Linked DNA regions of Elephas maximus indicus. The protein of the gene in region 2 interacts with the protein of the main gene of each other region in a pairwise test. Links are inferred from orthologs where the notes say so. Each region holds a gene or a part of one and is shown on either strand. Other genes may lie near its edges.

Region 1 (7,092 bases), on a different chromosome or scaffold from region 2:
GTAGCGGATGACGTTGGCCAGGTTGCCCCGCCAGAAGGACAGCACGCCTTGCTCCTTGGGGATGCGCACGATGCAGTCCACGATGCCCTTGTACTGCTTGTCGGCCGCGATCTGCTTGCTGGCGTGCTGCACCTGAGGGACAGAGCACAGGGCACCGTGAGCCCTCGGTCCGCACACAGACACCGCACGCATCACAAAGGAGCGTTCTTACAAAACTAATGTCGCTGACCTGACTGCTCACTGTCCTGACAGTTTACAGAGGCTACACCTGAGGGCCAGAGCACAGGACGCCGTGAGGCCTCAGTCTGTCCAGAAACACCCATGGCAGCACTAACGGCTTGTACTCGGCTAACTAAATGGCTGGCAACTTTAAGTCACCCAGGGGTGCTGTGGGAGAAAAGCCTGGTGCTCTGCTCCTATAAATACTACAGCCTAGAAAGCCCTACAGAGCAATTCTACCATTTACATGTAGGGTTGCCGTGAGTCAAAATCGGCTGATGAGAATTTTCTTTTGGGGGGGGCGGGATTTATTCAAAGAACAAGCACTTTTTATAAATGTAGTGTCACTGGCATGTCTGTTCCCTGCCTGCAGGATTTGGAGGTCTTGTACTCGAGATGGCGCAGGACTGGTCAGTGTTCCGTTCAGTTGTGCTTAGGGTCGCAACCGACTCAATGGCACCTAACAACAACAACACTTGAGAGCCAGAGGACAGAATGGTGAGGGCACTGCAGACCAAGGCCTGAATCTAAACCCAGAAATGCCCTTATAAATCAACAAGTGTTTTTATAAAACCAGTGTCGCAGACGTGACAGTTCAAACTCCCCTGATCAAGCGGGAATCTCTAGGTCCCTCCTGCATCATGGGAGCCTCTGAGTGCCACAAATGGTGAAAGGTTTGTCTGTTCACCAAAAGGCTGGCATTTCATACCCACCCAGACGTGCCTCAGAAGAAAGGCCTGGTGACCGACTTCTGAAAAATCAGCCACTGAAAACCCTATGGAAGTAAGTATTTCCACCGATATACATGCGGTTGTCCTGAGTTGGAATCAAGGGCAAGTGGTTTATTCAACCATAAGTCTGGAGGCCCAATCTTTATAAGCAGTTACTGTAACTTTAGAAATTCTGTCCTAACAACCGTCTTATAAGTAGCTTGTTACTTTTGGTAACAACATCAACCCGAGGCCACCACTTCCTACTCACACAGACCATATAGCATGTAACAGAACCACCCCACAGGGTTTCCAAGGCTGTCACCTTTACGGAAGCAGACCAGCACAAAAGTAAAGATAAAGGAGGTTACAAGTCCACTGCGGACCAGCGGCTGCATAAAGACAGTAATGAAAACAGAATCCCCCCGCCCCCGGCCCCCGCCGCCACAGGTGTGCTTGGGACTAGAGACTGCTGAGTTTCCAGAACAGAAATCTGTGCTTAGAGAGTTAATTTTTGAGTGAATTCCATTTGGATGGAGATGAATTCCTAGACAGACAGCTTTTGCCAGCTCCCACATACGATGTGCTGTTCAAGTCTGAAATCACAGATACAGTAACTCCTGTGAACAAATGCTGCTGCACCCATTTCAACCCACGTTGTGTCAGAGTAGAACTGCACTCCACAGGGTTTCCAGTGATTGGTTTTTTAGAAGCAGGTTACCAGGCCTTTCTTCCAAGAGACCTCGGGGGCAGGGATGCAAACCTCCAACTTTTTGTTTAGCAGCTGAGCCCAGTAACCCTTTTCACCACCTCAGACCAGACCAAATCCGCTGCCATCGAAGACGATTCCCACTCACAGCAACCCGGTAAGGACAGAGCAGAACTGCTCCATAGGGTTTCCAAGGCTGTACATCTTTACCAAAGCAAACCCCATCCTCCTCCTGTGGAAGTTGGTAGGTTTGAACCCCCAACCCTTTGGGTAGCGCAGTGCCACCAGGGTTCCTCTTTTCCGGCCCGGGGACTCCTGGAAATCAATTGTCGTGGAGTTGACCACGACTCAGGGACACCTCGTGTTGTGTCAGAGTAGAACCGTGGGCTGCAGGGTTTCCAATAATTGACCTTTTGGAAGCCGATCACCAGGCATTTCTTCCGAGGCGCCTCGGGGTGGACTAGAACCTCCAACCGGATGGCTAAGAGTCTAGCGCTTCACCGTTTGCATCGCCCAGAACGAGTTCACTGTTGTCAAAGAGACTGACCCAGAAACTGACTTTCTGAGCTCAAATTTCGGTTCTAAGAACTGTCAAGATCATCTACGCCCACGTACACCTGTCAAAATCCACAGCCGATGTGAATAACCCACAGGAGCCCCTTCCAGACACTGTCTGTGCGTCCCTCCTTGCTCGGGAAGGACGTGTGCACACGTGGGGTTTCTTTGGGCTCCCCAACCCACGATTCAAGTTCAAGGAGAAAAATGCACTTTAAAGGACCCCCTGCCCCGGGACACAGGGCACAAGGGTGGGCACTGGGGGCGGAGGTGGCCCCAGCTGGGGGTCAAAGCTCCCCAGGGACGGTCACCCTCCCAAGGTCACGACATGCCCGCCCCAGAGTCGCTCTGCCCTTCCCGACCCGGGCGCCAGAGCGCATGCGCGCCCGGCCCGGAGCCCGTCCCCGCCCCCACGCCTGCGGCGACGCCCCACGTGACCCGCCATCGCCCCGCCCCGGAAGCCGCCGGCGCGCGGACAAAGCGGTCGCGGCCTTGCACTTCCGGTGCCGGTCCCGGTGCTCGCGGCCGGCCCGACCCGGTCCCCCGCGCCCTGTCCGCGCGGCTCCCTCCGGGCCCGGGGTCCTGCCCACCCGCCGCCCACCTGCAGCAGCAGCTTGACCCGCTCGATGGGGGCCACGGCCGTCTTGGAGATGGCGGCGGCGATGCCGCCCGCCAGGAAGTCCTTGGCGAAGGAGATGGCCTGTTCCGTCATGGTGGCAGAGCGCGCTGCGGAGCGGGCGGAGAACTGGAGTGGACGCGCGAGGGCAGGGAAGGTGGGCGCCGCTGGCTCTGCCGCCGCCGCCGGGACCGAAAGGACGGGCCGCCTACCGCGCAGCCGCTAAGGCGCCCAGGCCCCGCCCCCGCCCCCGCCCGCAGCGCCTATTGGCCGCCGCGCCCACCGGCGCCCCGCCCCTCGCCGCGTGCCGCGCCCCCGGGGGATGCCGGGAGTCGCCGCGTGCCCCGCCCCGCGCCCCCGCGCGTCCTGCCCATTGGCCGCGCGGCCGCCACGCCCCGCCTTTTCCTGCGCTCGGTGGCCCCGAGGCATGCTGGGAGCCGGGTCCCGCCCATGCGCCTTGCGGGCGGGGGGCTCGGCTGCAGTGACCTTTTCAAGGTCACTGGGAGCGGGGAGGTTTGGGGGGCTGCCCCCGGGGCGCGCCGTCCGCGGCCTTCCACCAGGCCCGGGTGCCCGCGCGCATCCCCGGGAAGGGAGACAAGGCCAAGGACCGGAAGCTGCCGTGCTCCCGACCCCCGCTTTTCCCCCAGGATGGAGCCTTTTAATGGGGGGCGGACGCGTCGTCCAGTGAAACCCTCAGACCCTGCTAAAGGGAAACACGTTTTTGGGGGGCGGCCTGATGCCCCTTCCTCGCGCTAGGGCGCCCCGACCCCGAGCGAGGCTCCGCCTGTCGCCCCTCCAGGCTCACCTGGGGGCCCTCTGCCCCCGCCCCTTAACTCCCGGCACCAGCCCGGTGGCCTTTATGGGGCCTGGGGTCCTTTGCTGCACCCCCGCGGGGCTCCCCCTCCACCTGCACTGGCGCCCACCTCCCCCAGGCCACCGAGGGGCTTCTTCCCCACCTTACCCCTGTAAGGCCCAGGGCTGACCTTTGGGGACTTGGAGATGAGCAGGAGGTCATAAGCTGCCCATATTACACACACTGACATACACCCCTTACGCCCACCCAGAAAGTAAGGTTGTGAGGGCAAGATGTTTTAAGATACTTTGAACTTTTTTTTTGATGTAAAAAAGAAAACAACCCCATTGCCATCCCTTGGATTCCAACTCATGGCGACCTTATAGGACAGAGTAGAACGCCCCCATAGGGTTTTGTAGGCTGTAAATCTTTACAAACTGACATATCTTTCTTGTGCAGACCACCTGGTGGGTTCGAATCACCGACCTTTCGGTTCTCAGCCAAAGGCTTTAACCACGGGGCCACGATCACCCAATGAGTTTTCACAAACTGAACACAGTCCGGTAAGAAAAGACCCTTACCAGCAACCCAGAATGGTTCCTGGGTGGTGTAAATGGTCAACACACTCAGCTGCTAACTGAAAGGTTGGAAGTTCAATTCCATTCAGACGTGCCTCAGAAGAAAGGCCTGGCAACCTACTTCCAGAAAAATCAGCCACTGAAAACCCTGTGGAGCCGCGTTCTGTTCTGACACGTCGGGGGGTCACCATGAGTCAAGTTTGATTCAATGGTAGCAGCTCAGAAGCAGGGTCCTTTTTTCTTTTTTTCCTTTCTCCCTCCCTTGCTTCCTTTCTCTCTCCTTCCATTCTTTCCCTCTCTCCTTCCTTCCCTCCCTGTCAGTCCCTGGCACTGAATGAATGGGCAGATGGAATGGAGCCACACAGAAGAGCTCAGGGCACGCCACCCTGCCAATTTCACGGTCCAGTGTGTTATGAGGAGCCCTGGAGGCAGAGTTGGTGCAGTGGTTAAGTATTTCATTGCTAACCAAAAGGCCGGCTGTTTGAATCCATCAGCCGCTCCTTCGAAATCCTATGGGGCAGTTCTCCTCTGTCCTGTAGGGTTGCTATGAGTCAGAATCGACTCGACGGCAACAAATTTTTGGTTTTGGATGTGTTTTGAACTTTTTATTGATCTGTAACATACAGAAAATTGCACAAGCACTCGAATTTTCACGAAGAGAACATAGTCCTCTCAGAAAGACCCTTAGTAGCAAACCAGAAGTGTCCCTGGATGGTGCAAACAGTGGACATTCTCAGCTGCTCACCAAAAGGGGCACAGTCCAAGGCCCTGAAGCAATGGGTGAGGGGAGGGAACCAGACACAAGAGCTCAGGCACCCTGAGCCTATCCACTTCCCAGGCAGCAGTGTCCTTTAAATGCCTTTCTTAGTCCTCTCTTGACCTCTGCTGTGAGGCAGGTAGGGGGCAGGGCTTGAGGCCTCCACATTCCACAGGCTTCAGCTGGCTTGGAGGCAGAGGCTGTACCTGGAGGGTGTGCCCGGCTGTGGGCAGGGACAGGGTGTCTGCTCAGGGACCTTGTCTGGGCACTGGTTTCCACCAGATGTTTCTCGTCTTTGCAGACTCAGCCTGTCTGGGCTGGAACAGACCCAGGAGACGGTTATCACTGCCCTCGCCTGAGCCTACAGGGCCACGGAGCTGGAGTGTGAGGTCCAGCTGGGACTCCCAGGCCCTGGAATGTGGTGTATCAACTTCAGTGCCACAGACTGTGTGGTACAGAAGAGAGCGTTTGTAATATTTACAGGAGTCCTAGCGGCACAGTGGTTAAGAGCTATGGCTGCTAAACAAAAGGTTGGCAGTTCAGATCCAACAGTCGCTCTTTGGAAACCCTGTGGGGCAGTTCTGCACATCCTACAGGATCGCTGTGAGTCCGACTCGAATCCACAGCAATAGGTTTTAATGTTTATGGAAGCAGGTTCCCTCGGAGCCACTGAGTGGATTTGAATCACCAACCAGGGCTCTTTCCCATAAATAGACACATTAAAAGATTTTGGGTTTTAGCTGATGGCTTGGAATGAGTAGTGCAGTGATGTGGCTGGCAGTTTTTTCTTTTTTGGGGGAGGGGGATAGTAGGAACTGTGAAATTCTTGGGAATCAGCGTTCCATCAGGTGCTGCCTTCAAAGGTCTCTAGTGACAACAGGGAGGAGGCTGGACAGGGCAGGGCTGAGGGGAAGGGCCAAGCTCCATTTACTTAGGTGTGACAGGAAAACCTGTCAAGGCCAGAACCTGTGTAAGGCAGAAACCTGTCCGAGAATGGAAACTCAAATATTTCCCACTAATAAAAAGTGTTAGAAAAGTGGTAAGACTGCACCCTGTCGAAAGCAGAAAACTTAGGAGACCCAGAAAAAGAAAGTAGTCCTGTCAGAGTTCCCCCTTGCACGGATTTCACTATAGTATATGACTTATGGTTGGAGCCCTGGTGGTGCAGTGGTTAAAAGCTTGGCTGCTAACCCAAAGGTCAGCAGTTCGAATCTGCCAGGCGCTCCTTGGAAACCCTGTGGGGCAGTTCTCCTCTGTCTTGTATGGTTGCTAGGAGTCAGAATCGACTCCACGGCAGTGGGTTACATAACTTAGGGTTTGTGCCGCTGCCTCCGCAGAACCCCGGAATAAGTCCAGAGGGTAGTTTTTACTAAGTGCTGTGTTGCAAACAGAACAGTCCCCAAAACCCCGGGGTTGTGGGTAGCAGTTAGCAGGGACAGCTGCTTCGTGTTGTCCTTGGCTGGCAGGAGTCAGGGTTGCTGTTGGGTCACCTTGGGCCCCAATCTCCACTTCCTTCCAGCCCGGCATCTCAGCCAGGGCCCTTCTTGTTCCCTCAGCGCCGCTGTGCAAGGTGAAAGAGTCTAGGAATAATGCCTTCCTGGGCTGTGCTCCAGGAAGCCTGGTGGCATAGTGGTTAAGTGCTATGGCTGCTAACCAAAGGGTCGGCAGTTTGTATCTGCCAGGCGCTCCTTGGAAACTATGGGGCAGTTCTACTCTGTGCTATAGGATCACTATGAGTCGGAATCGACTCCATGGCACTGGGTTTGGTTTTTTTTTGGTTGGACTGCGCTCCACGCTGGCACCCATTCTCTGCCCCTAGGTGTCCTGGGCCATCCCATAGGTGCTGGGTTGATCAGGAGATCCTGGGTTTGAGGCTAGTCGCCCAGAAGAGCGGCTCCCTCCTGGGCTTAGTTCACTTAGCAGGCTGGGACATAGTGGCTGGCAGAGACTGCCCCGGCCTCAAGGGCTTTTCACAGTCCAGGGCACATCACCCACGTGGGAAGGCCCCTAACCCAGATCATCCCTGGGGAGGATGACAGAGGACTTCTAGAAGGACCAGCTGCCCCACTGAGCCAAGGAATGGGCCCCCAGGAGGAGGACGGGAGACCCTGGTGGCTACAGGGACTGCCCCAGGGGGCAGGAAGACCCCAGTCCC
Region 2 (7,598 bases):
AATAATAAAAGTGTTATGTACTTCATTTCCTAGTCTATACTAACGTAACGAGTTTTTAATTTAATAGAAAAATTATCTTTCATAAGACCTGATGCTCTGATCATGTAAACATAAAAGAGTACTACTGGGTCGCCACGAGTCAGAATCGACTCGACGGCCAAGAGTGTGGTTTTTTTTTTTTGAGTACTCAGCTTTCACTGCTGTGAGCTGTGCACAATGAAACGTGTCGCTTACGACTCTGGCAAGTGTTCTACACGGAATTACAAGTCCCTGATAAATTACTCTGTGCAGTGTTAAAAAATAAAAAACAAGAAACATTGTTTATACGAAAGTATAAAAAAAAGAAACATTATTTATATGAAAGTATACATGCCGTAAAATTCTTCAGCGTACCACCTTTCCAATACCATTTTTCTCTTCCCATATTTCTGAGCCCGGGTGACGCAACGGTTAAGCACTCGGCTGCTAACCACAAAGTTACTGTTTGAACCCACCCAGCAGCTCCACGGCAGAAAGACCTGGCAATCTGCTCCTACAAAGATCACAGCCTAGAAAACCCTATAGGGCAGCTCTACTCTGTCACATGGGGTCGCTGGGAGTCAAAATCGACTGGACTGCACCTAACAACAACTGTTTACTTAAACCATACCTTGGGCTTTTACCAGCCACACCTTGGGCTACAAACTGACAAATGAAAAGAAATAATGTTTTCCAAAACAAGAGCCCTGGTGGTGCAACGGTTAAGTGCTGGGTTACTAACGGAGAGGTTGGTGGTTCTAACTCACCCAGTAGTTCTGCGGGAGAAAAGACCTGGCCATCTGCTTTTGTAAAGATCACAGCCTAGAAAATCCTATGGGGCAGTTCTGCTCTGTCACATTGGGTCACCGTGAGCGAAAATAAACTTGACAGCACCCAACAACAACAACAATGCTATCCAATGGGTCTCAACCCTGGATGCATGGTAGAATCCCCATGGGAGCTTTTGACATTGCAGATGCCAAAGCACTACCCCAAACCAGGTAAAACGATATGGGGGCGGGGGATGGCAGGGCCTGGGGAGGAGGCACCTAGATATTGGTATATCTGACAGTTTCTACTTTTGGCTTCTTTTTACCTGAAAAAACAACCATAAATGTGAGCAGAGAGGTTTTATTGGGGGAGGGGGCAGGTCTTGAATAACTGGCAACTCCCAATTACTATGCTTTCATCAGATATTAAAATAAAAGGAACCCTGGTGGCAAAGCGGTTAAGCACTCGCCTGCTAACCAAAAGGGTCAGCAGTTTGAAGCCACCAGCCAGCATCTCTGCAGGAGAAAGACCTGGTAATTTGTTTCTATAAAGATAACCACTAGGAAACCTATGGGACAGTTCTACTCTGTCACATGGGCTTGCTATGAGTCGGAATCGACTCAACGGCACACAACCACGTCAAAATGAAATCATTCGATAATTTGAAACCCATAAACGATATCTGTAGAATTTTTTTTTCATTACTAGCAAATAATCTGCTTCCATAAAGGCAACAGCCAAGAAAACCCTATGGGGCAGTTCTACTCTGCCACATGGGGTCGCTATGAGTCCAAACGGACCCCAGAGCACCCACAGCAACATCAATAAGTAGTCAAAGATTCTCATCAAGTTTTGCAGTAGTCTTTACAAAACCTACTTTATTGTTTAATGCTTTGCAACTCTGTCTCTACCTAATGTTATAGAAAAAAGGGCTTCCTACTATCTTAAAAGGGTGGCTCGAGCTGGGTCCACGTTTGTCTTCAAGCAAAGTTTTGGTTTAAAGCCGAAATGACGGTTCTGACATCTTCGCTCCCTCTTCTTAGATCCTCTGGTAATCACTTTTCATAACTGAACCAAAGAGCAAATATTTTTTTAAAGCACTTATATAACAGAGAGTACAGGCGCCTTTGGGACCCTGCCAAGAGTACTTCTTCCCGTGTTTGTATTTAAAATAGAATGGTAGTAACATCACTTGTGTGCCTGAAATTCCTCTGTGCACAGGCTCAGAATGAAAAATGGATGTAGCAAACCGCTTCACTGCGTACCATTATAAAGCTCGAAGGAAGTAACACATTCATACTAAATTAAGACGAAGACACAGACCGAATTATCCAAAGCTGGAGGAGGGTGGGGGACACCTGATTTCACTCGGTTTAACCTACCATCCCCTCTAAAACGGGATAGTCTAACCCGGCAGCTCCCGAAGGTGCCAAATGAGCTGCAACACTTCAGCCCACGCAGGTGATGTGGGCAGGAAAGAATAACTGCTATGACGACAGAACAGCCGAAAAAAACGCTGCGCTTTCCGGAGCACCGGCTGCGACCATTCCCAATTCTGTCCCAGTCTCAGCACTGTCCCCTGAAGGCAGGCACCGGAGCCAAGACCGACCCCTGCAGACCGCAGAACAGAATGTGCTCACCTGGATCCGAAAGAGCCAAGAAAGATGTCCGAGGGGCCACTCCTGCCCTTAACTAGCCTCTCCTGGCGACCCGGCTCCGACGCGCGTCCTCCTCCTCCCCGGCTCCAGTTTGCTATTTACGGAGAGGATGGACTCTGCGGACCGGCCACGGATTGCAGCCAAAGGGGGTGGACAAACTTGCCAGGGAACCAGGAGAGGGGGCGCAGGTGGAGAAACCAGGGACGCCACCCCAGCTGGAGACAGCCCCTGACAACTGCCGCCCGCACCACCCACGCCCGCCGCGGCGCACGCAGCGCCGGGAGCGCCTGGGAACCCAGCGCCCCGCTGCGCCCCCGCACTCACCTCTGCGCGGGCACCGCCCAGGCCGCCGCCCCCGCCCCAGCGCAGGGGAGCCGGGGGATAACCAGGGGACCAGGGCAGGACGCCGGGCGCGCCCGGTTCGGCCGTCGCAGCCACCGCGCTTCGGCCGCCTCCCCGGACAAAGAGGAGCCGCGGGGCCGGCGGCGGAGCCCGAGCCTCGGAGCGCGCCGCGCAGCCGGCAACTCTCGCTCGCGCGGTGCGGCCCTCGGTGACAGCCCGCCGGCTGCGGAAGGGAGGGCGGGCGGCGCGGGCAGCAGAGGCGCGCACCCCCTCCTGGCCGGCCCGAGACGCGCACGCCGAGGCCCGGCGCCGCCAGCCGCCCGGCGCGCCCCTCCCTGCCCGCGCCCCGCGCACCCAGGCCGCCCAGCGCGAGCCACAGCGCCCTCTGCCGGCCCCTCGGAGCCTCCGCCCGCAGCTCCGCTCGCGTCCGCACCGTCCGGCGGCTCCTGGAGCCACCCAGCCGCGCCACCGCGGTCCCCTAGCGGCTAGGCGGCCCCAGGGGAGAGAAAGGAGAAGCAAGGCTGAGGAGAGGGGTGGCAAGGCAGAGGGCTTCGAGGAGGGCGATCTGCTGTTTTCCTCTTAGGACGAAGACCGAACAGGTTGGAATTGGGTGAAGCAAGAGGAATTTAGGCAAAGCGTTGGGAAGAGCTTGGAGGGCGGGGGGATCCCTCATTCACAACAAGGAGCCCAGATGCGGTCTCCGACAAACTGTTGGAGGAAAAGGCGGGCTTTTCTTTCTAGAATCAGGTTTATTTCTGTGTCTAATAAGCACCAAATGTGCCTAACACTCTTCAAGGAGCTCCAGCGATTTTTGACAGTTCTCAGGAATAAATGGCTTCATTAATGACTTCTTGCAGGGTCTTCTGGCCCTACCTGAAATGCTCTTGCTTCCCCTAAACAGTGCACCTAGACCAAAACCAAACCCGTTGCTCTCACGGCGATTCTGACTCATAGTGACCCCATGCGACAGGTTAGAACTGCCCCCTAGGTTTCCTAGGCTGTAATCTTTATGGGACCAAGTTGGCAGGTCTTTTCTCCACGGAGCTGGAGCTGTCAACTTTTAAGTTAGCAGCCCAGCGCTTACCCAGGGCTCCTTAAGCAGTGAACCTGGTGGGTATTAAGCAATACTTTATATCAGTTATATTTTTTAACAAGCTGATCTTAGTGAAAGGACAACGTGAAATAGCACCTTTTTTTTTCTCTCCCACAGCACTGTGTTTTACAATGTATTCTATCAGATCTTCCTTCTCTTCTGGAAGAATCTAGGGCAGATTTCATAGCTTTTCCTATCACTTTCAGGTGTTAATAAAACTCTGGTATTAAAAAGTCCAGTCCAATCCAAATCCAAATCAAAACTTTAATTTCATTCAATTTGCCCCTTCTTTATTCCCCTCCCATGCCCACCAGCTCCCAGCCTGACCCAAGCTCAGACGCCTGTAGTGGGGAAGGGGAAAGAAGCCTGTCTTTCCCTTCCTTGTTCTGCCTCCTCCCCACTGACTGGGTTAAGACTGAATCCTCCAGGATGGCAGGGGTGAGGGAAGCTCCCACTGAATCAGGCCGTGGTGCTGATCACTTGCAGCTTTCACTTCAGCATCTCCTTCAGGTGGTCCACCTCACATAGACCCTCGGTGGGTGTTGCCGTGCCCTGGCAGGCAAGCCTCTCGAGTGCAGTCCTTTTGAGATGGTTCAGATCCAGCTACCTTCCACCGTGTCCACTCTGTCCCATGGAAAGTACTTGGCATTGTTGCTCATCACACTAATACTGCAGGCCAGTGTCCCTGAGGCACACTCTGCTCAGGCTTTGGCCACAGGCAGCTCTGACCAGCCTCTCTCCTTGAAGCTTTTCATGCCGGAGTCAGACTCCCATCTCTGGGTTCACAAATGTCCCAAGCTGCAGGTGATACATTTTCTCCATGGTCCAGGTAGCTCTCCAGAAGCACACCCTTTTTTTGCATGAAGTGGGTAGATACTCCCTAAGTTGCATCACAACACCCTAGGCTCATTCCAAGGAAATTCTCAGAACCAACTTTCCCCCTTGATCACTCTCTTTTCTTTCAGTTTCGACTGAAGATGGCAGAACCCTTAGCAACTCCAATAAAGAGGTGCCCATTTGTTGTATTAATGTTTCTCTTATGAAGTTATTGTGAAGATTAAATGAATTCATATATCTAAGAATCAGTCCTGTCATGTAAGTTCACAAGAAATTGTTTTTGTTAGATGCCATCAATTCAGTTCCGACAATGAGTGGACTTTCTCACATGACCTTGCAACTTCCACCCAAGCGATTGGTCAGGACTGTGTGATAGGGTAACTGTGGCCCACCAAAGGGGTTGGCCAGTTTTGCCATTCTGCTGGGTTTGAAATGAGCCATCCCAGAGGCAGGACAGAAGAACTCACCACCACCAAGAAAGGAGAGACTCACGGGAGACAGCACAGTGGGCTTCTTAGCCCATGGAGAGTGAAAGCTGAGTGCCTTTGGGCAGAGCATGAGGGCCAGGGAGAGGTGTGCCTGTGAGCATGGCTGGGAAGAGGCTGTCCTGATGGGAGAACAGTATCATAGAGTGTTTCTGAACCTGAATTGCAACCTCTTACTTCCTTAATAAACCCCATAACTGTGAGAAAAAAAAAAAAAGAGGCACCAATTTGTTGTTCTTAGGTGCCATCTAGTTGATTCCTACTCCTAGCAACCTTACGCATAGCAGAACAAAACATTGCCCCATCCTACGCTATCCCCTCAATCGTTGCTGTGCTTGAGCCCATTGTTACAGCCACTCTGACTGTCCAACTAGTTGAGGGTCTTCCTCTTTTTCACTGGCTCTCTGCTTTACAGAACATGATGTCCTTCTCCAGAGATTACCCCTCCTGATAACATGAGCAAAGTAAATGAGACAAAGCTTTGCCATCCTTGCTTCTAAAGAGCATTCTGACTGTACTTCCTCCAAGACAGATTTGTTAGTTATTCTGGAAGTCCACAGTATTTTCAACGTTCTTTGCCAAAACAATAATTTAAATGCATCTTCTTTGGTCTTTCTCATTCATTGTCCAGCTTTTGCAGGCATATGAGGTGAATGAAAAAAACCATGGCTTGGGTCAGGCACACCTTAGTCATCAAAATGACATCTTTGCTTTTTAAGATTTTAAAGAGGTCTTTTGCGGCAGATTTGCTCAATGCAATATATCGTTTGATTTCTTGACGCCTGCTTCCATGGGTGTTCATTGTGGATCCAAGTAAAACGAAATGCTTGACAACATCAATATTTTCTCCTTTTATCATGATGTTGCTTATTGGTCCAGTTGTGAGGATTTTTGTTTCCTTCATGTTAAGATGTAGTAGCTACTGAAGGCTATAGTCTTTGACCTTCATCAGTAAGTACCCTTCACTTTCAGCAAGCAAGGTTGTGTCATCTGCAAATCACGGGTTGTTAATGAGTCTTCCTTCAATTCTGATGCCACGTTTTTCTTCATATAGTCCAGCTACTCAGATTATTTGCTCAACATACTGATAGAATAAATATGATGAAAGGCTACAACCCTGACCCACACCTTTCCTGATTTTAAACCATGCAGTATTCCCTTGTTCTGTTTGAACAACTGCCTCTTAGTCTATGTACAGGTTCCACATGAACACAATTAACTGTTCTAGAACTTCCATTCTTCCCAATGTTATCTATCATTTATTGTGATCCACACTGTCAATGCACAGTCAATGTAACACAGGTAAACATCTTTCTGGTATTCTCTGCTTTCAGCTAAGATCCACCTGACATCAGCAATGGTATCCCTCATTCCATGTCCTCTTCTAATCCAGTTTGAATTTCTGGCAGTTCCCTGTCAATGTGCTGCTGCAGCCATTTTTGAATGATCTTCAGCAAAATTTTACTTGCGTGTGATACTAATGATATTGTCTGATAACTTCCACATTCCACTGAATCACCTTTCTTTGGAGTGAGGACAAATATGGATCACTTCTAGTCAGTTGGCCAGGTAGCTGTCTTTCAGATTTCTTGGCATAGATGAGTGGGCACTTCCAGCATTGCATCCATTTGTTGACACATTTCATTTGGTATTCTGTCAATCCCTGCAGCCTTGTTTTTTGCCAATGCCTTCGGTGAAGCTTGGACTTCTTCTTGTAGTACCATTGGTTCTTGATCATATCCTGTCTCCTGAAATGGTTGGCTGTTGACCACTTTTTTTTGGTAAGTGGCTCTGTATTCCTTCAATCTTCCTTTGATGCTTCCTGAATCATTCAATTTTTTGCCCATAGAGTCCTTCAATATTGCAACTCAAAGCTTGAATTTTCCCTTTAGAGATCATCTCAGGAATAAATTTGATGCACTGAGCACTAATGACTGAAGACCAGGCAAGTTGTCAGATGACATCAAAGACATCATACATGAAGAAAGCAAAGGTCATTAAAAAGGCAGGAAAGAAAAAAAAGACCAAAATGGATGTCAGAAGAGACTCTGAAACTTGCTCATGAATGTAGAGTAACTAAAGTGGATAGAAGAAATGCCAAAGTAAAAGAGCTGAGCTGAAGATTTCAAAGGGCAGCGCAAGAAGACAAAGTATTATAATGAAATGTGCAAAGACCTGGAGTTAAAACTCTGAAAGGGAAGAACGTATTCGGCATTTCTCAAGCTGAAAGAACTGAAGAAAAAATTCAAGCCTCGATTGCAATATTGAGGGATTCTATGGCCCAATAGCTCTATCTAAAATGTGGATATACTTTTTGCCATGGTGGCCGTGAAGAGATGCCACTCAAACCTTTGAGCATAATTCACTGACAGCCCCCAGCTGTCATACCTTCGG
Region 3 (7,760 bases), on a different chromosome or scaffold from region 2:
CCTACATCTGCACCACCTTGCCAGCCATATGAGTGAACCACCCCCCAAGCCTTCGGATGAGATCCCATGAAAGACCCTGAGCAAGAACTGCCAAGCTAAGCCCTTTCTCAATTCCAGCCCAACAGAAACATGTGAAAGAGGAAAAAGTATTGTTGTGTTAAGCTGCTATATTTTGTGATGATCCCTTATGCCTAGGGACTGTAACAAATTCCAATGCCCAGGCTGCAACTCAGACCCTCTATCTGTATCTCTGGGAGAGGGGCCCAGGCAACAGGACACTCATGTGCAGCCAAGGTTGAGAGCCACTGAGAGAGCTACTCAGCTTGCAGCTTCTGTTCGGGCAGCCTTCACTGAGCCTCAGCCGAACCATCTCTCCTCTGGGATCCCACAAGCCCCTGTGCTGACCCAACCTGTGCCTGTGGCCATCTCATGCTTAATGCATGTTTTGTGTCTGTCTCCCCCACTAGGATGTGGGCTCCCTGAAAACAGAGGTTTCTGGTGGGTCCTTCCAGAGAAGTTCAGACGTAAGCAAACACATACAGAGAGAACACCCTTTAAATTAAATGAAACAAAATAGAATACAGCCACAGGATGCACAGGCGACAGAGAGCTGACATCTGAGTCTGATTTCATCTCAGTTTCGAGCTGAGTGGAGAAAAAACTGCCAAGGTCAGAGTTCTGGAGGGGGCAAATCCCACACACTGAAGGAGCCACCGGCCTGTCAACAGGGCAGATGCTATTGTTGCTCAAACATGCTGGGTCAGGATAAGACCGTGAGGATTGCTGGCTCCCTCTGATCCAGGCGCAGTTAATGACAGTTTGTCCTTACTCTTAGTCCTCCACCCCAGCTTGGAGGAGGGCAAGGACTGGGATGCTGTCAACCACTCTGGCTAGGCACCAGGCTCTTAGCACATCCTTGAAGGAGGCATCATCAATACGCTGTTGGCATGTGAAGATGCCCAGAGTTCTAGAATCCAATACGCCCAAATTATCTTTCTTCATATGGCATAATTTGGGGTCCAGGGGAAATCCCTTCCCCCCTGGTTTGCTTTACTTTCTTAATCTGGGGAATGAGCCTCAGGTGGTGGTGTTTTGTTTTGCTTGGTTTGTTGTCAGCTGGAAGGCATGCAGGACAGAGGAAAGCTTTGAAGATGCAAGGGTCAGCAGGGCCTTTCTCCAAGCATCTCAAGTATATCCCAACCCCTGATTAAAGTTGAACGATGTTTCAGAGAAGAATCAGACCACAACACCATTATCATTCCTCTTTTAATAACAGGGAGGTCAAGGTCTGGGAGGGACCCTGGCAATGTGCTCACAGGGTCATATGCTTTTGTAACACTTGCCAAAGTAAGGTATTTTAACTGCGCTCTGTTAAAGCCACCATCTCTTTACACTCCAAATTCTCTTTGTGTCAGATGACGTTGGGGTGGAGTTAAGCATTTTGGGGCTTTGGCTAAGGGGACATTGAGTTGGGGACACATTTAGTTTGGGTTTAGTGGGATATATTTAGGTTGTTTCCAGTCATTTTTTTTTTAATTATTTATTTGTTTTTATTTTGCTCTAAGTGAAAGTTTACAGATCAAGTCAGTCTCTCGTACAAAAACATATACACACCTTACTATATACTCCTGGTTGCTCTCCCCCTAACGAGACAGCACATTCTACCTCTCCACCGTGTATTCCCTGTGTCCATTTAGCCAGCTTCTGTTCCCCTCTGCCTTCTCATCTCCACTCCAGACAGGAGTTGCCCACATAGTCTCATGGGTCTACTTGAGCCAAGGAACTCACTCCTCACCAGTGTCATTTTCTGTCTCATAGTCCAGTCCAATCCCTGTCTGAAGAGTTGGCTCTGGGAAAGATTCTAGTCTTTGGCTAACAGAAGGTCTGGGGACCATGACCTCCACGGTCCTTCTAGTCTCAGTCAGACTATTGAGTCTGGTCCTTTTATGAGAATTTGAGGTCTGCATCCCACTGTTCTCCTGCTCCATCAGGGGTTCTCTCATTGTTGTGAATATTTAGGATCTCTGGTGGCATAGTGGTTAAGAGCTTGGCTGCTAATCAAAAGGTCAGCAGTTCAAATCTACCAGCTGCTCCTTGGAAACCCTAGGGGGCAGTTCTACTCTGTCCTATAGAGTCACGTGAGTTGGAATGGACTTGATGGCAACAGGTTTGTTTTTTGGGGTTTTTAAAAACTTATTACTAACTGACCTGGTGTAGGAGCCCTGGTGGTGCAATGGTTAAGAGCTACAGCTGCCAACCAAAAGGCTGGCAGTTTCAATCCACTAGCCATCCCTTGGAAACCCTGTGGGGTAGTTCTACTCCATCCTATAGGGTCGCTATGACTTGTAATCAATTTGAAGGCAACGGGTTTGTTTTTTTTTGACCTGGTTTAATAATGGCTTCCAGGAATACGATTACCCCTTGAACTATCCTGACTCAATTGGTGTTGTGACGTGATAGTGCAGGGTTAGAGGTCATATTTCAATATAAATGACCTTACATCACCCACACCAGAAGTATTTGGGTGCTAGAGGAGAAGTTTGAAATGTACGTATACATGGAGCCAGAAGGTAGTTTGTGGAAAGTATTACATGGGTATGTCAAAGAGGTAATAAAGAATGTTATTTTTCCGGGTTTTGTAACATTTGCGGGATTTGTCAAGTTTTAAAATTTTGTCACTTGTGGTAGTTTCTTTTATCTTTCTAACCAAGTATTCACTTTATGACCTAATTATATATTCTTTGCTTTAAAGAATTCCCCCTAAATTGTATAAAGCTTCAGGCTGCACAAAGCCTGGATCTGCTTCTGCTCAGCTTTTTCCTGTGTCTTATAGGAGCACAGGGCCAGCCTGGCCTTCCCTCACCACTGCTGCCACTGCCACTACCAAAGAGTTCTTGCGTATTTATGAAGGAATATAACTGGCTCTGGATTCAGACAAATCTTAATTTTCTCACCTATAAAATGGGAATAATAGTAGGATCTCTTTCCTCAGATTGCAATGAAGTCATGGCTCAGATTGCAATGAAGTCATGGGAGATAATCTTTGTAAAGCCTCTAGCACAATCTAGCAGGGGATACAGTGAGGGCTAGGTTTGATATTTACCTGGTGCTCACAGTTACAGCCAGACTCCTCATTTATGACAGTTTCTGTTCTGATTTGATCAGTGCCCAAGCCAGAGTTCAAAATCATTGTTAGCTGCTGACATACATAAATGCTCCTTTCTACTCCCTGCCCCCACAAGGTATGTATACATAAGCGCTCAAACATTGACAATGCAATGAAAGAAGGAAAGACACCAGCCAGGATAGAAAACAGAGGCAGGCTCCAAATTGAGCAATGCCTTAGACTCAAACAGTGACTCACAGTTATAAAATTAACCTTGAAGAGCCCTTCATTTATTCTAACCTCATAAAAAAAGAAAACAAAAGAAGTTTTCCTGACAGTTTTAAGTATTGGGAATTTGGAAATTCCACAAAAGCACAAAGAAGAAATTAACGGCTGTTAATTTTTTTTTTATACATATATACATGTGACATCACGATTATAAACTTAATGCCCATCTATGGGGCAGTTCTACTCTGTACTACCGGGTCGCTATGAGTCGGAATTGACCGGACAGCGCTGGGTTTTTTGGTTTGGGGCATGCTGTACATACTGCTTTGAAACATATTTTAAGTTTAATGCATTCTTAGCATTTCCCCTGTATCTTGAAACGTCTTTTAACTATACCATTTTTAATGAATGCTTAACATTCTTCATCAAAAAATGGGGATAAAAAAAATTTTTTTTAATTTGATCTCAGGGAAACCCTGGTGTCATAGTGGTTAAGTGCTACGGCTGCTAATCAAAGGGTCAGCAGTTCAAATCTGCCAGGCGCTCCTTAGAAACTCTATGGGGCAGTTCTACTCTGCCCTATAGGGTCGCTATGAGTCAGAATCGACTCGATGGCACTGGGTTTGGTTTTTTTGGTTTTATTTGATCTCAGAGGATTATCCTGAGCACTGACAAAGTTATACCATGCCAAGCCGCCTGGCATGTAAAAACTCAATAAAAATCCAAAAAAACCCGTTGCCCTCAAGTTGATTCGGACTCATAGAGACACTATAGAACAAAGGAGAACTGCCCCATAGCGTTTCCAAGGAGAGAGGCCGGTGGTTTCGAACTGCCGACCTTTTGGTTAACGGCCAAACGTTTAACCAGTGGGTCACCAGAATGGACTTACATAATCAATCCCTTTCTGCTGGTCATTTAATTTGTTTCCACTGTTTTGCTATGGGGAATAACGCTGAGCTATATTAATCTTTGCTCGCATTTTGATCATTTTCTTAGGACAAATTTCAGGACTGCAGTGCACGTCATTTTAAAACGAAGCCACTCATCGCTGTGCAGCTAGAGGAACAGGGGAAGAGACTTGCCCAGGGTCACATGGCAAGTTAGCTGCAAAGGAGACTAGACACACTCCAGAAGCCCCAACCACTGCCTCTTTCAGGTGGGGACCCTCAGGACTTCCGGTCTGGGGAGCGGGGGGGAGGAGGAGGAACGGAAAGAACCACGCGCCCGGGCGACTGCAGCCGCCGGAAGAACGTGGGGCCGACAGGGAAGGGGCGGGGCCGCCGAGTCCGGGCGCTCAGTTCACGAGGTTGACGCTAAGTCGTCGCTTGGCAACGCGGGCGGCGCGGCGTTCGAACGGAAGCGGGGGACCAATCAGGATTTCCGGGGCGAACCATTCCGGCCGAGGGGGGTGTGTGTGTGTGCGGCGCGCTCACTTCCCCTTCCGCGGATCTCTGGACCTACGCTCCGGCCGGGGCCTTCGGAAAATCAAGGCCCCCGGGCCATCTAGTGAGACGGCAGCTCAAAGAGGCCCTCGGGGCTGGGGTCTTCCGGGCCGCGTTGGGAACGGTCACTCCCAGCCCGGGTCAGAGCTGTCAGCCTCTCCAAGACCCACGCTAGAGGAGCGACGACTCGCGTAGCACAGGCCCCAGGTGAGGGCGCGGGTGGTCTGGGGTGCGAGCCGGGGTCCAGCAGGGGGTTACGGTTCACTGAGCGCCTGCTGTTGGCGTCCTCACTGAATCGTACCTGCAAGAAGGAGGTGTTACCCCATGTCACAGGTGAGGACGCTGAGGCTTAAGAGAGTCAAGTGGCCCAGCCCGGAGAGGTCTGGCAGAGAATCCCATTCAGGTCTTTCCACCTCATCTCGCAGCCTAGATGTGCCTAGAAAGGCCCAGACGGCAACTGGTGGTCACTTCTTAGCTTCTTTGGGGCACGGCTCGTAGACCCCCTGGCTGGATCACCTCCTCCCTACAACTAGGCCCCTCCTCCCCGTCCCCGGCGTCTTTGGGTCTGTAGGGTGCCCCTTCTGGGCGTCTGTCTTCCCTTCCCCAGAACGCCATGGGTTGGACTAAGTGTTCATTTGGGGATCTTCTGCCTGCATTCTTTCTTACAACAAAAATTTATTGGCTTCACAGCCCTGCCCTCCCCCTTGCCTGTTTTGTCTCAGTAGCATTTGCCCCATCTGTTGTCCTATCTATTTCACTTATTAGTGAGTTTATTGTCTTCTCCTCTGGAATGTGACACAGGGCAGGGGCTAGAATGAGGCAAGTGAGGCACTCAACCTCTAGTGCAAAATTTAGGGGTGCCCAAAAGCTCAGTAATTAAGATAAATAGTATTTCAGTGAACCATTTTTAAAAGTAAAAATGCAGTGCATGCTAAGCAAAATATCACTGTTACAGGGTTAGTAACAGTGCTGTGCCAGGCAATATTGGATCCAAAAGGAAGAATTAGTATTCTGTCTTTATAATCACAGAAATGATGTAAATAACCACATATCCAAATGTAAAATTTCAGTGTGACAAGGAATATAATAAGAAGGAGGAGAGAGCCATGAGGGAGTTTCACTGGGGGCCCTGAGCTAGTCTAGGCATGGTCAGGGAGGGTTCCTGGGAAAAAGGGATGTTTGAACTGAGATCTGAAGGTCAGGGAAGCTTTAGGAGGAGAACAAGTGGTGGGCAGGTGAGAACATCCCATGCAGAGGGAGCATCAAGGGCAAAAGTCCTGAGGTGGGAGCAAGCTTGAAGAGGGTGGAGATGTGGCCAGGAAGAAGAGGAGCGTGGTCTCCAGGGCAGGCCAGAGCTCTGTCCCTGGCATTTGGGCCCTTTGAGAATTATTGCTTAAGGGGTACCTTGTAGGGTTGCTATGAGTTGGAATCGACCCTAGTAGCTTTCTTTCAAGTTCCTTGGCGTTTTGTTTGTTTATTTAAGTGTTGTGTAAGCATCACCACTATTTATTTCCAAAGCTTTTTCATCATCCCAAACAGAAACCCTGTACCCATTAAGCAATAACTCCCCATGTCCTGCCTCCTCCCAGCCCCTGGTAATCTCTAATCTACTTTCTGACTCTGTCCATTTGCCTATTCTAGGTATTTCATATAAGGGGGATCACACAATATTTGCTGTTTTGTGTCTGGCTTATTTTCAAGGTTCTTCCATGTCATAGCATGTATCAGAACTTTATTTTTCTTTATGGCTGAGTAATATTTCATTGTATGTGTATACCACATTTGTTTATCTGTTCCTCTGTTGATGGACACTGAGTTGTTTCCATCTTTTGGCTACTGTGAATAACACTACAGTGAACATTGGTGTACAAGTATCTGCTGGAATTCTTGCTTTCAGGTGTCTTGGTTATACACCTAGGAGTGGAATTGCTGGGTCATAAGGTAAGGTCATATTTAATTGTTTTACTGCATGTTATTCTGGTGGGAGGTCAACTTGCATGGCTTCCATGGAGTGTAGTTCCACCATCTCTGTCACAATTACAAGTGCTGTCCGCTGACTCAGCTGTCTCACTTCAGGTATTTCTTCTTGGCAAAATGACATAGGTACAGTGACACTGCAGCATGGTTTGTAATAGGAGGGACTGGACACACACTGGGTGGTGCAAATGCTTAACATGCTTGGCTACCAACTGGAAGGTTGGCCTTTTGAATCTATCCAGAGGCACCTCACAGGAAAGGCCTGGTAATCTACTTCCAACAAATCAGCCATTGAAAATCCTGTGGAGCACAGTTCTACACTGAAACACATGGGGTCACCATGAGTAGGCGTTGCCATGAGCGGGAATCGCCACAAACGAGAGTCAACTCAATGGCAAGTGGAACTGGTAGGCACAGTGCAGCTGTGAAAAAGGAGAGGCTGCTCTCTGGGTATTGATGGCGTACCCAGAACAACATATATTGTTGAGGAAGAAGGGCAAGGTTGAAAACAGTACACAAAGCCTGTTGCCATTTGTGTAAAAAAAGAGAAAACATGTATGTCCATACTTGCTTGTATCTGCCTAAAATTTCCCTGGAAAGACACACAACTACCTGGTCACAGTGGTGCCTACAGGGAGGGGAACTGGGTGGCTCCCCAGGACAAGGGCAGGAGAGAATTTTTTTTTACTCCATTCCTTTTTATAGGTTTTGAATTTTGAGCCATGTGAATATATCACCTGGTTGAAAAATGATACATATGTGATCACTATATATTATATATCTAATTGTGAGAACCACTGCCATATCTGTGGTCTGTCACTGACTTGCTGGGTGACCTTGGGCCAGTTTCTTCACAGCTCTGGGCCAAGGTAAGAAGCCATGATAGTGAGCCCCCAAAGGGTCAGAGGGCAATCAGGACAGAAGTGGGCTGTGGGTCTGCTTCACTTCTACCACCCCCATCCTCTGTGCCAGGCCCTTCCCTAAGGGTTTGCATGTGGCATCTCCCT
Region 4 (7,527 bases), on a different chromosome or scaffold from region 2:
TACTGATTGAGATGTTTCAACAAATGGATGCAGCACTGGAAGCGCTCACTTGTCTATGAGAACAAATGTGGAAGACAATTTTCTGGCCAACTGACTGGAAGAGATTCATATTCATGCCCATTCCAAAGAAAGGTTATCCAATGGAATGTAGAAATTATCAAACAATATCATTAACATCACATGCAAGTAAAATTATGCTGAAGATAATCCAAAAACATTTGAAGCAGTACATCAACAGGGAACTGCCAGAAGTTCAAGCCGATTTTGGAAGAGGACATGGAACGAGGGATATCATTGCTGATGTCAGATGGATCTTGGTTGAAAGCAGAGAATGCCAGAAAGATGTTTACCTGTGTTTTACTGACTATGCAAAGGCATTTGACTAGGTAGATCATAATAAATTTTGTGGATAACATTGGGAAGAATGGGAATTCCAGAACACTTAATTGTGCTGATGAGGAACCTGTACATAGACCAAGAGGCTGTCGTTTGAACAGAACAAGGTGATAATGCATGGTTTAAAATCAGAAAAAGCGTGCGTCAGGGGTGTATCCTTTCACCGTACTTATTCAATCTGTATGCTTAGCATATAATCTGAGATGCTGGACTATATGAAAAAGAATGGTGGCATCAGAATTGGAGGAAGACTCATTAATAACCTGCTAAAAAAAAAAAAATTTTTTTTTTTTTTTATATACAGGTGGGAAACCGTGGTGGGGTTATGGTTAAGAGCTTGGCTGCTAACCAAAAGGTTGGCAGTTTGAATCCACCAGGCACTCCTTGGAAACTCTATGGGACAGTTCTACTCTGTCCTTTAGGGTCGCTCTGAGTCAGAATCAACTTGAAGGCAAAGGGTTTGTTTGTTTTTTAACATGCAAATGGGAAACCCTGGTGGTGTAGTGGTTAAGAGTTCAACTGCTAACCAAAAGGTCAGCAGTACAAATCCACCAGGTGTTCCTTGGAAACCGTATGGGGCAGTTCTACTCTGTCCTACAGTGTCGCTGTGAGTCGGAATCGACTCGATGGCAGTGGGTTTGATTTTTTTTTAGTATACAAATGACAAAACCTTGCTTGCTGAAAGTGAAGAGGACTTGAACCACTTACTAAGGAGGATAAAAGACTACAGTCTTCAGTATGGATTTCATCTCAACATAAAGAAAAAAATCATCGCAACTTGACCAATAAACAAAGATCATGATAAATGGAGAAAAGATTGAAGTTGTCAGTGATTTCATTTACTTGGATCCACAATGAATGCCCATGGAAGCAGCAGTCAAGAAATCAAACAAAGTATTGCATTGGGCAAATCTGCTGCAAAAGGCCTCTTTAAAGTGTTAAAAAATAAAGAAACTTGAAAACTAAGGTGTACCTGACCCAAAGCCATGGTATTTTCAATTGCTTCATATGCATGTGAAAGCTGGACAATGAATAGGGAAGACTGAAGAAGAATTGATGCCTTTGAATTATGGTGCTGGTAAAAAATATTTAACATACCGTGGACTGCCAGAAAAAGGAACAGATCTGTCTTGAAAGAAGTACAGCCAGAGTACTCCTTAGAAGCCAGGATGGCAAGAGTTCATCTCACGTACTTTGGACATGTTATCAGAAGGAGCCAGTTCCTGGAGAAGAACATCATGTTTGGTAGAGGGTCACTGAAAAAGAAGAAGACCCTCAATGAGGTGGATTGACACAGTGCCTGCAACAATGGGCTCAAACAGCAAGGATTGTAAGAATGGTGCAGGACCAGGCAGTGTGTTGTTCTGTTGTGCATAGGGTCTCTATGAGTCAGAACTAACTCGACGGCACCTAATAACAACAAGAATATACAGTAAAACCTACAGAATCCAGAACCCGTGTAAGATGGAAACCTGTCAGAGAAAGAAAACTCAAAAATTTTTCACCAATAGACAGCTATAGAAAAGTGGTATGACTACACTCTTTCACAGGTGGAGAACTGGCAAGACTGGGAAAAATAAGGCAGTCCCCTAGAGTTCCAGCTCTCACAGGTTTCACTGTATATTGAAGTGTGCATTGGGAACTAAGAGGCAATAAATTGATAACTGATACAAGAACCTATGCTCAAAGTCTTTAGGTCTTTCGGCCTTTAGGACTCATGAGGTTTTGAGAATCTGACTCTAGACGGCCTATAGACCAAACTGAGAATTTCAGCTTGTATAATGAGACATTCTCTGATCAGCTATATATGTTCATTGCAAATATAAACAATACAGAAGGCTATAAACTGTACAGTGAAAGTCCTTGATAATGGGCATGGATTTACCAGAGACAAATACTGTTTTAACACTTTGCTATCTTTCCTTCCATACCAAAAAAACCCCAAACCCATTGCTGTGGAGTTGATTCCAACTCATAGCGACCCTACAGGACAGAGCAGAACTGCCAGGTAGGATTTCCAAGGAGGCTGGTGTATTGGAACTGCTGACCTTTTCGTTAGCAGCCTAGCTCTTAACCACTGCGCCACAATGTTGCCAATTGCCAATCTGACACAAAGGGTCCTTGCCTTTTCCTGAGTACCAATACACGCAAAAGACAAACTTTACCTTCGACAAGCTTTATTTTGCTTGAGTCAAGCAGAAGGAGTCAGCAGGGATCTAAGCCTCTCTAAAATACTGACTTGAAGAGGGAAGCAAAGCTAGGGCTTATATGGGTTCGGTGGAGACAGTGAAGTAACGAATATTTAGTGGGCTTCCTTCAAGGGGCAGATACTTCTCAGAATGGCGGCGCATGTTAATTAAGTTGCCGGCACATCTGGAATCCAAGATGGAACCCGCTGATGTTCAAGGTGGAGTCCTCTCAGCAGCTCTTGGCATCACTTACTATGGGATTATAGTGCAGGCGCACTGATCTTTGGCACTACATCACCATCTTTGGAGGGCTAAGGAAGGGTAAACAGTGGCCGCATTTTGTTCTTCTGAGCCTGTAAAGGGGGGAGGGACTAGAAAAACACTAAGAAGGAGAAAGTAGTTTACAGGTTGTTTCAGCCTTATTTCATGTTGACATGGTGTGGTTCCTATTTATCCAACTTCTAGATGGTAATCTTTTAACAGTGCTTTCCTTCTGCCAGCACAGTTAACCCTACCTGTCTCACCAAACCAAAAAAAAAAAAAAAAACCAAACCCAGTGCATCGAGTTAATTCTGACGCATAGCAACCCTATAGGACAGGGTAGAACTGCCCCATAGAGTTTCCAAGGAGCTCCTGCCAGATTCAAACTGCCAACCCTTTGGGTAGCAACCCTAGCACTTAACCACTATGCCACCAGGGTTTCCCCTGTCTCACCAGGGCTCCAATATTGGCAGCAAACAATCCAATAGATGTTCAATATCATGGGGTTGGCAACCAGTGTCACAAAACAATGTGTATTAATTGCTTAATGAGAAACTAATCTGCTCTATAAACCTTCATCTAACGTACAAATTAAAAAAAAGAAACAAATACATGTTTAACACAAGGATTCCATGCGGACTGTTTAACTTTTTTTCTTTTTTTTTTAACTTAATATATCAAGGTATCAATACGTCTTTCCAAGTCAGTATATACAGACTTCCTAATTAAAAAAAAATTAAGGTACAATATGGTTTGATTTGGGGTGATATCCCTCTCTAAAACTGTCCTTGATGTGGTAATATTTGGAATTCCTCCTTCTCTCTTCTCCCCCAGGCTCCCAGTGACTCTAGGCTGGAAGTCCTAAAGCTTAAATTTTCACACAAAGGTTCTCTTATTTCATTTGCACACGTCGAAAGTCTTTGGCGTCTCATACAGTTCTCCGAAGTTGGCAACCCCGTTCCCGGTTGGGGAAGGGTCTCAGACACCTCCGGGAAACTCACAGCGAAGCGCCACCCAGGTTGCAGGTTTAGCAACTCCAAGCCTTCCCCTGCCGACTCCTCTCCTCAGCCGCCCGCTGGTGACCTCTCTCTGCCCAGGCATCCAGGACCCCCCGCGTTACTGTCCCTGGCAGCACCCCTGTCCCCGCTCAAGACCCCGCCCAGCAGGAACCCGCGCCGCCAGCTCCGCCCCTCTAGGAGTCCACCCTCCGGTCCGCTCTCCACCTACACAGAACAAGCACCGTCAGCATCGCCCCGGACTCCACCCACCGCTAACTCACGCCGCTCACCTCGTTCCGGATCCGCCCACCTCACCCCTGGCTCCACCCAGAAGGAACCAGCACTGTCCATCCTCCCCACCCTGAGCTCCGCCCACTGGCTCCACCACCCGGAAACTGCGCCCCCTGACTCCGCCCACCCACCCCTGACCTGCGCGCGCCGGGAACTTGCGCTGCTCTCCCCGCCCCGAGCTCTGGCCGCACAGCCCTGGGCTCCGCCCCCCTCACCCGGCTCCACCACTCGGAAGCTGCTCCGCCCACCCCGCCCCAGGCTCCGCGCGCCGAGAGGTTGGGCGGCTAGCCCTACCCAGGCCCTGCCCTGACCCCGCCCACTCTTCCTAGCCTTGACCGCTCCGCCCTGGACTCCGCCCACCCGGCCGCTGGTTCTCGCAACAAGAACGAGGGCAGGCTCCTCCCGTGGCTCCTCCCCGCGAGCCCTCTGGATCGGTGCAGCTTGTCTGCCTGAGGCCCGGCCCCGGCCCCGGCCCCGGCCAGCCGTCATGGAAGGGGATGGTCCCTCTGCCGCCGCCTCGTGGTACCAGCCGGCCGGCCCCCCGCGGGAAGCGTGTGTCTACAGCAGCTGCTATTGGTGAGGGGAGCGGGCGCAGGTCCCCGAATCTCCCAGCCTCAGCCGGGCTCGCCTCGTCCAGGCCCCTCCTCTGGAGCTCGGGGCCTCCTCTGGAGCTCGGGGCCTCCACTGGCCGGTTTTCCTGTTTCGGAGTGGAGGGAGCGGGAACGGCAGCCCTTGCCGCTGGAGTACAGCGTGGGCAGTAGGATGAGGGGGATTGGTCAGGAATGGCAGAGTCGGTGGTGGTGCCTTACTTCTGGTTGGCGGTTTTTGGCTGGACTTAAGCAGATCCTAGTGGGAACGGGGAAGTTAGAGGCTGAGGGTGGAGCGCAGAGAACCCTTGCAAGCTACTGTGTGGAATCCTGTATGGTTTCAGATCGATGTGAGGGCCATTTTAAGAGTATAGAGGCACAGAGTTCAAAGCAATTTTCCGAGGGTTACCAAGCTAATAGCAGCCAAGAATCCAGTCCATCCCCTCTTGCACTAGAAACCATGGTCTTAACCACTGTGCTGTAACAATAATAACTGTTACACTTACATTGTACTTGCTACATGCCAAGCGTTGTTCTGGGTTGTTTATGTCGTCTAATTCTTTTGAGTCTCACTGGCAGGTAATGTTATTAAAACAAACAAACAAAGCAGTTGCCATTGAGTTGATTCCCACTCTTGACCCCACATGTGTCAGGGTAGGACCGTGCTCCACAGGGGTTTCAATGGCTGACTTTTGCCAAGTAGTTTGAGGTACTGTTGTTACACCCATTTTTTAAAATGAGGACATTGAAGTACAGAGGGGGACAAGTAATTTGCCTAAGGCCACCGTCTTAGTTATCCAGTTCTATAAAAGAAATACCACAAGTGGATAGCTTTAACAAAGAGAAATTTACTTCTTCACATTAAAGTAGGCTAAATGTCCAAATTCAGGGCATCAACTCCAGCGGAGGGCTTTCTCTCTCTGTCGGCCTTCTCATTACTCTTCCCCCAGACTCGGAGCTTCTCTGTGCAGGGACCCTGGATTCAAACAACGCGCTCTGCTCCCAGCACTGCTTTCTTGGTGGTAGGAGGTGCCCTCTCTCTGCTCGCATCCTTTTCCTTTTTGTCTCTTGAGAGATAAAAGGTGGTGCAGGCCATATCCTGGGGAAACTCCTTTTATATTGAATCAGGCATGTGACCTCGGTAAGAGTGTTACAGTCCCACCCTAATCCTCTTTAATCTAAAGTTAAAATCACAGAATGGAGGACAACCACACAATACTGGGAGTCATGGCCTAACCAAGTCGACACATATATTTGGGGGACACAGTTCAATCCATGACATTCTTCATTTTGGTCCCCAAAAAATCACATCCTTGTAGCATGCAAAGCATATTTATCCCATTATATCATAGCAAGTCTTAACTCCAAGTCCAGCATCCAAAAATTCCTCTTCATCTGTGAAATGTAGAATGCAAGTTATCTGCTGACAAAGGTACAATGGCAGAACAGGCACAAGCTAGACATTTCCATTACAAATGGGAGAAACTGGAGGAAAAGAAGGGATAACAGGCACCAAACAAGTCAGCAGAACACATTATATTAGCCCTAAAGTCTTTGAAAAAATCCTCTGTTCTCTGAGACCATTTACAAAATGGCTCCGCCCTCTAGACTCTAGGTATTGGCCACACTTTCTGGATCCTGAGGGGAGGCCCCTCTGCCCTGGGCTTCAGCTCCACCTTCCACGCCCACTGGGACAGCAACTCTGCTCCCTCAGCTTTAGGCACGCCATTCTCCTAGTCCATCTGAGTGGTGACTCCGCCTTTAGAAACATCAGAGGCCATGGCTCCATCCTTTGAAATCCCAGAGGTCCTGGCCATATCTTTTGAGACTGAGGCAGCTTGGCTTCTTGTGTTCCTTGTCTGTTCAGCTTCTGCTTCCTGGTTTCTTGGCTTCTCGGCTCCTAGGGCCTCACGCCCACATCTGCCCTTCTGGGGCAAGTGTTCCAAAGCTCTGTAGCTCCACTGGTAAGTGCCCGGAGGCACCCCACTCCTCTAGGAAGCCTCTTGTGCACAGGCACTCAGCTCTCTCTCTCTGTTGGTCTGCTTCAGTGCCATCTTGCACTGGTCTCTTGGTTCTGCTGCTGCCAGGTCTCTGCTGCTGCTGGTTCTCTGCTGCAGCCACTTCCCTGCTGCTGCAGTTTCTTTGCTGCTGCCGATCCTCTTCTGCTGCTGCTCCTCTATTCATTCACAGTTTCAAAACTGCTTCCACATTTTAGGTATCCGTTAGAACAGCACCCCACTCCTGGTACCAAATTTTGTCTTAGTCATCTAGTGCTGCTATAACAGAAATGCCACAAGTGGTTGGGTTTAACAAACAAATTTATTTTCATCACAGTAAAGTAGGCTAAAAGTCCAAATTCAGGGTGTCAGCTCCAGGAGAAAGTTTTTCTTTCTGTCGGCCTTGTCATCAATCTTCCCCCAGACTAGGAGCTTCTCTGCGCAGGGACCCCGGGTCAAAAGGATGCACTCTGCTTCCGGCACTCCTTTCTTGGTGGTATGAGGTCACCTGCTCTCTGCTTGCCTCCTTTTCCTTTATCGCTTGTAAGATAAAAGGTGGTGCAGGCCACATCCCAGGGAACTCCCTTTACATTGGATCAGGGATGTGATCTTAATAAGGGTGTTACAATCCCACCCTAATCCTCCTTAACATAAAATTACAACCACAAAATGGAGGATAACCACACTACTGGGAATCAATCCCATCCAAACTGATACACATTTTTTGGGGGCCATAATTCAATCCATGACAGCCACTTAGCTTGTGAATTTAGGAATGGGGATTTATAGGCAGAGCCTGGCTCTAGAG

What was found.
Region 1: the proteins of MTUS2 (region 2) and SLC25A6 interact in binary tests that used the Homo sapiens proteins (3 or more experiments, as listed by UniProt). The two-hybrid records come from large-scale screens. The link is inferred for Elephas maximus indicus from reciprocal best matches to the Homo sapiens genes MTUS2 and SLC25A6.
Region 3: the proteins of MTUS2 (region 2) and FAM110A interact in binary tests that used the Homo sapiens proteins (3 or more experiments, as listed by UniProt). The link is inferred for Elephas maximus indicus from reciprocal best matches to the Homo sapiens genes MTUS2 and FAM110A.
Region 4: the proteins of MTUS2 (region 2) and NTAQ1 interact in binary tests that used the Homo sapiens proteins (3 or more experiments, as listed by UniProt). The two-hybrid records come from large-scale screens. The link is inferred for Elephas maximus indicus from reciprocal best matches to the Homo sapiens genes MTUS2 and NTAQ1.

The regions. Positions count from the first base shown.
Region 1 is NC_064846.1:180,063,074-180,070,165, reverse strand, and holds the start of SLC25A6 (ADP/ATP translocase 3), read right to left. Parts: upstream 3,018-7,092; 5' UTR 2,906-3,017; coding exon 2,795-2,905; intron 133-2,794; coding exon 1-132. UniProt on the Homo sapiens protein: ADP:ATP antiporter that mediates import of ADP into the mitochondrial matrix for ATP synthesis, and export of ATP out to fuel the cell.
Region 2 is NC_064841.1:61,236,438-61,244,035, reverse strand, and holds the start of MTUS2 (microtubule-associated tumor suppressor candidate 2), read right to left. Parts: upstream 3,013-7,598; 5' UTR 2,772-3,012; intron 2,699-2,771; exon of another isoform or gene 2,430-2,698; intron 1-2,429. UniProt on the Homo sapiens protein: Binds microtubules. Together with MAPRE1 may target the microtubule depolymerase KIF2C to the plus-end of microtubules. May regulate the dynamics of microtubules at their growing distal tip.
Region 3 is NC_064843.1:38,838,867-38,846,626, forward strand, and holds the start of FAM110A (protein FAM110A), read left to right. Parts: upstream 1-4,742; 5' UTR 4,743-4,983; intron 4,984-6,673; 5' UTR 6,674-6,717; intron 6,718-7,760.
Region 4 is NC_064833.1:19,443,632-19,451,158, reverse strand, and holds the start of NTAQ1 (protein N-terminal glutamine amidohydrolase), read left to right. Parts: upstream 1-4,514; 5' UTR 4,515-4,622; coding exon 4,623-4,711; intron 4,712-7,527. UniProt on the Homo sapiens protein: Mediates the side-chain deamidation of N-terminal glutamine residues to glutamate, an important step in N-end rule pathway of protein degradation.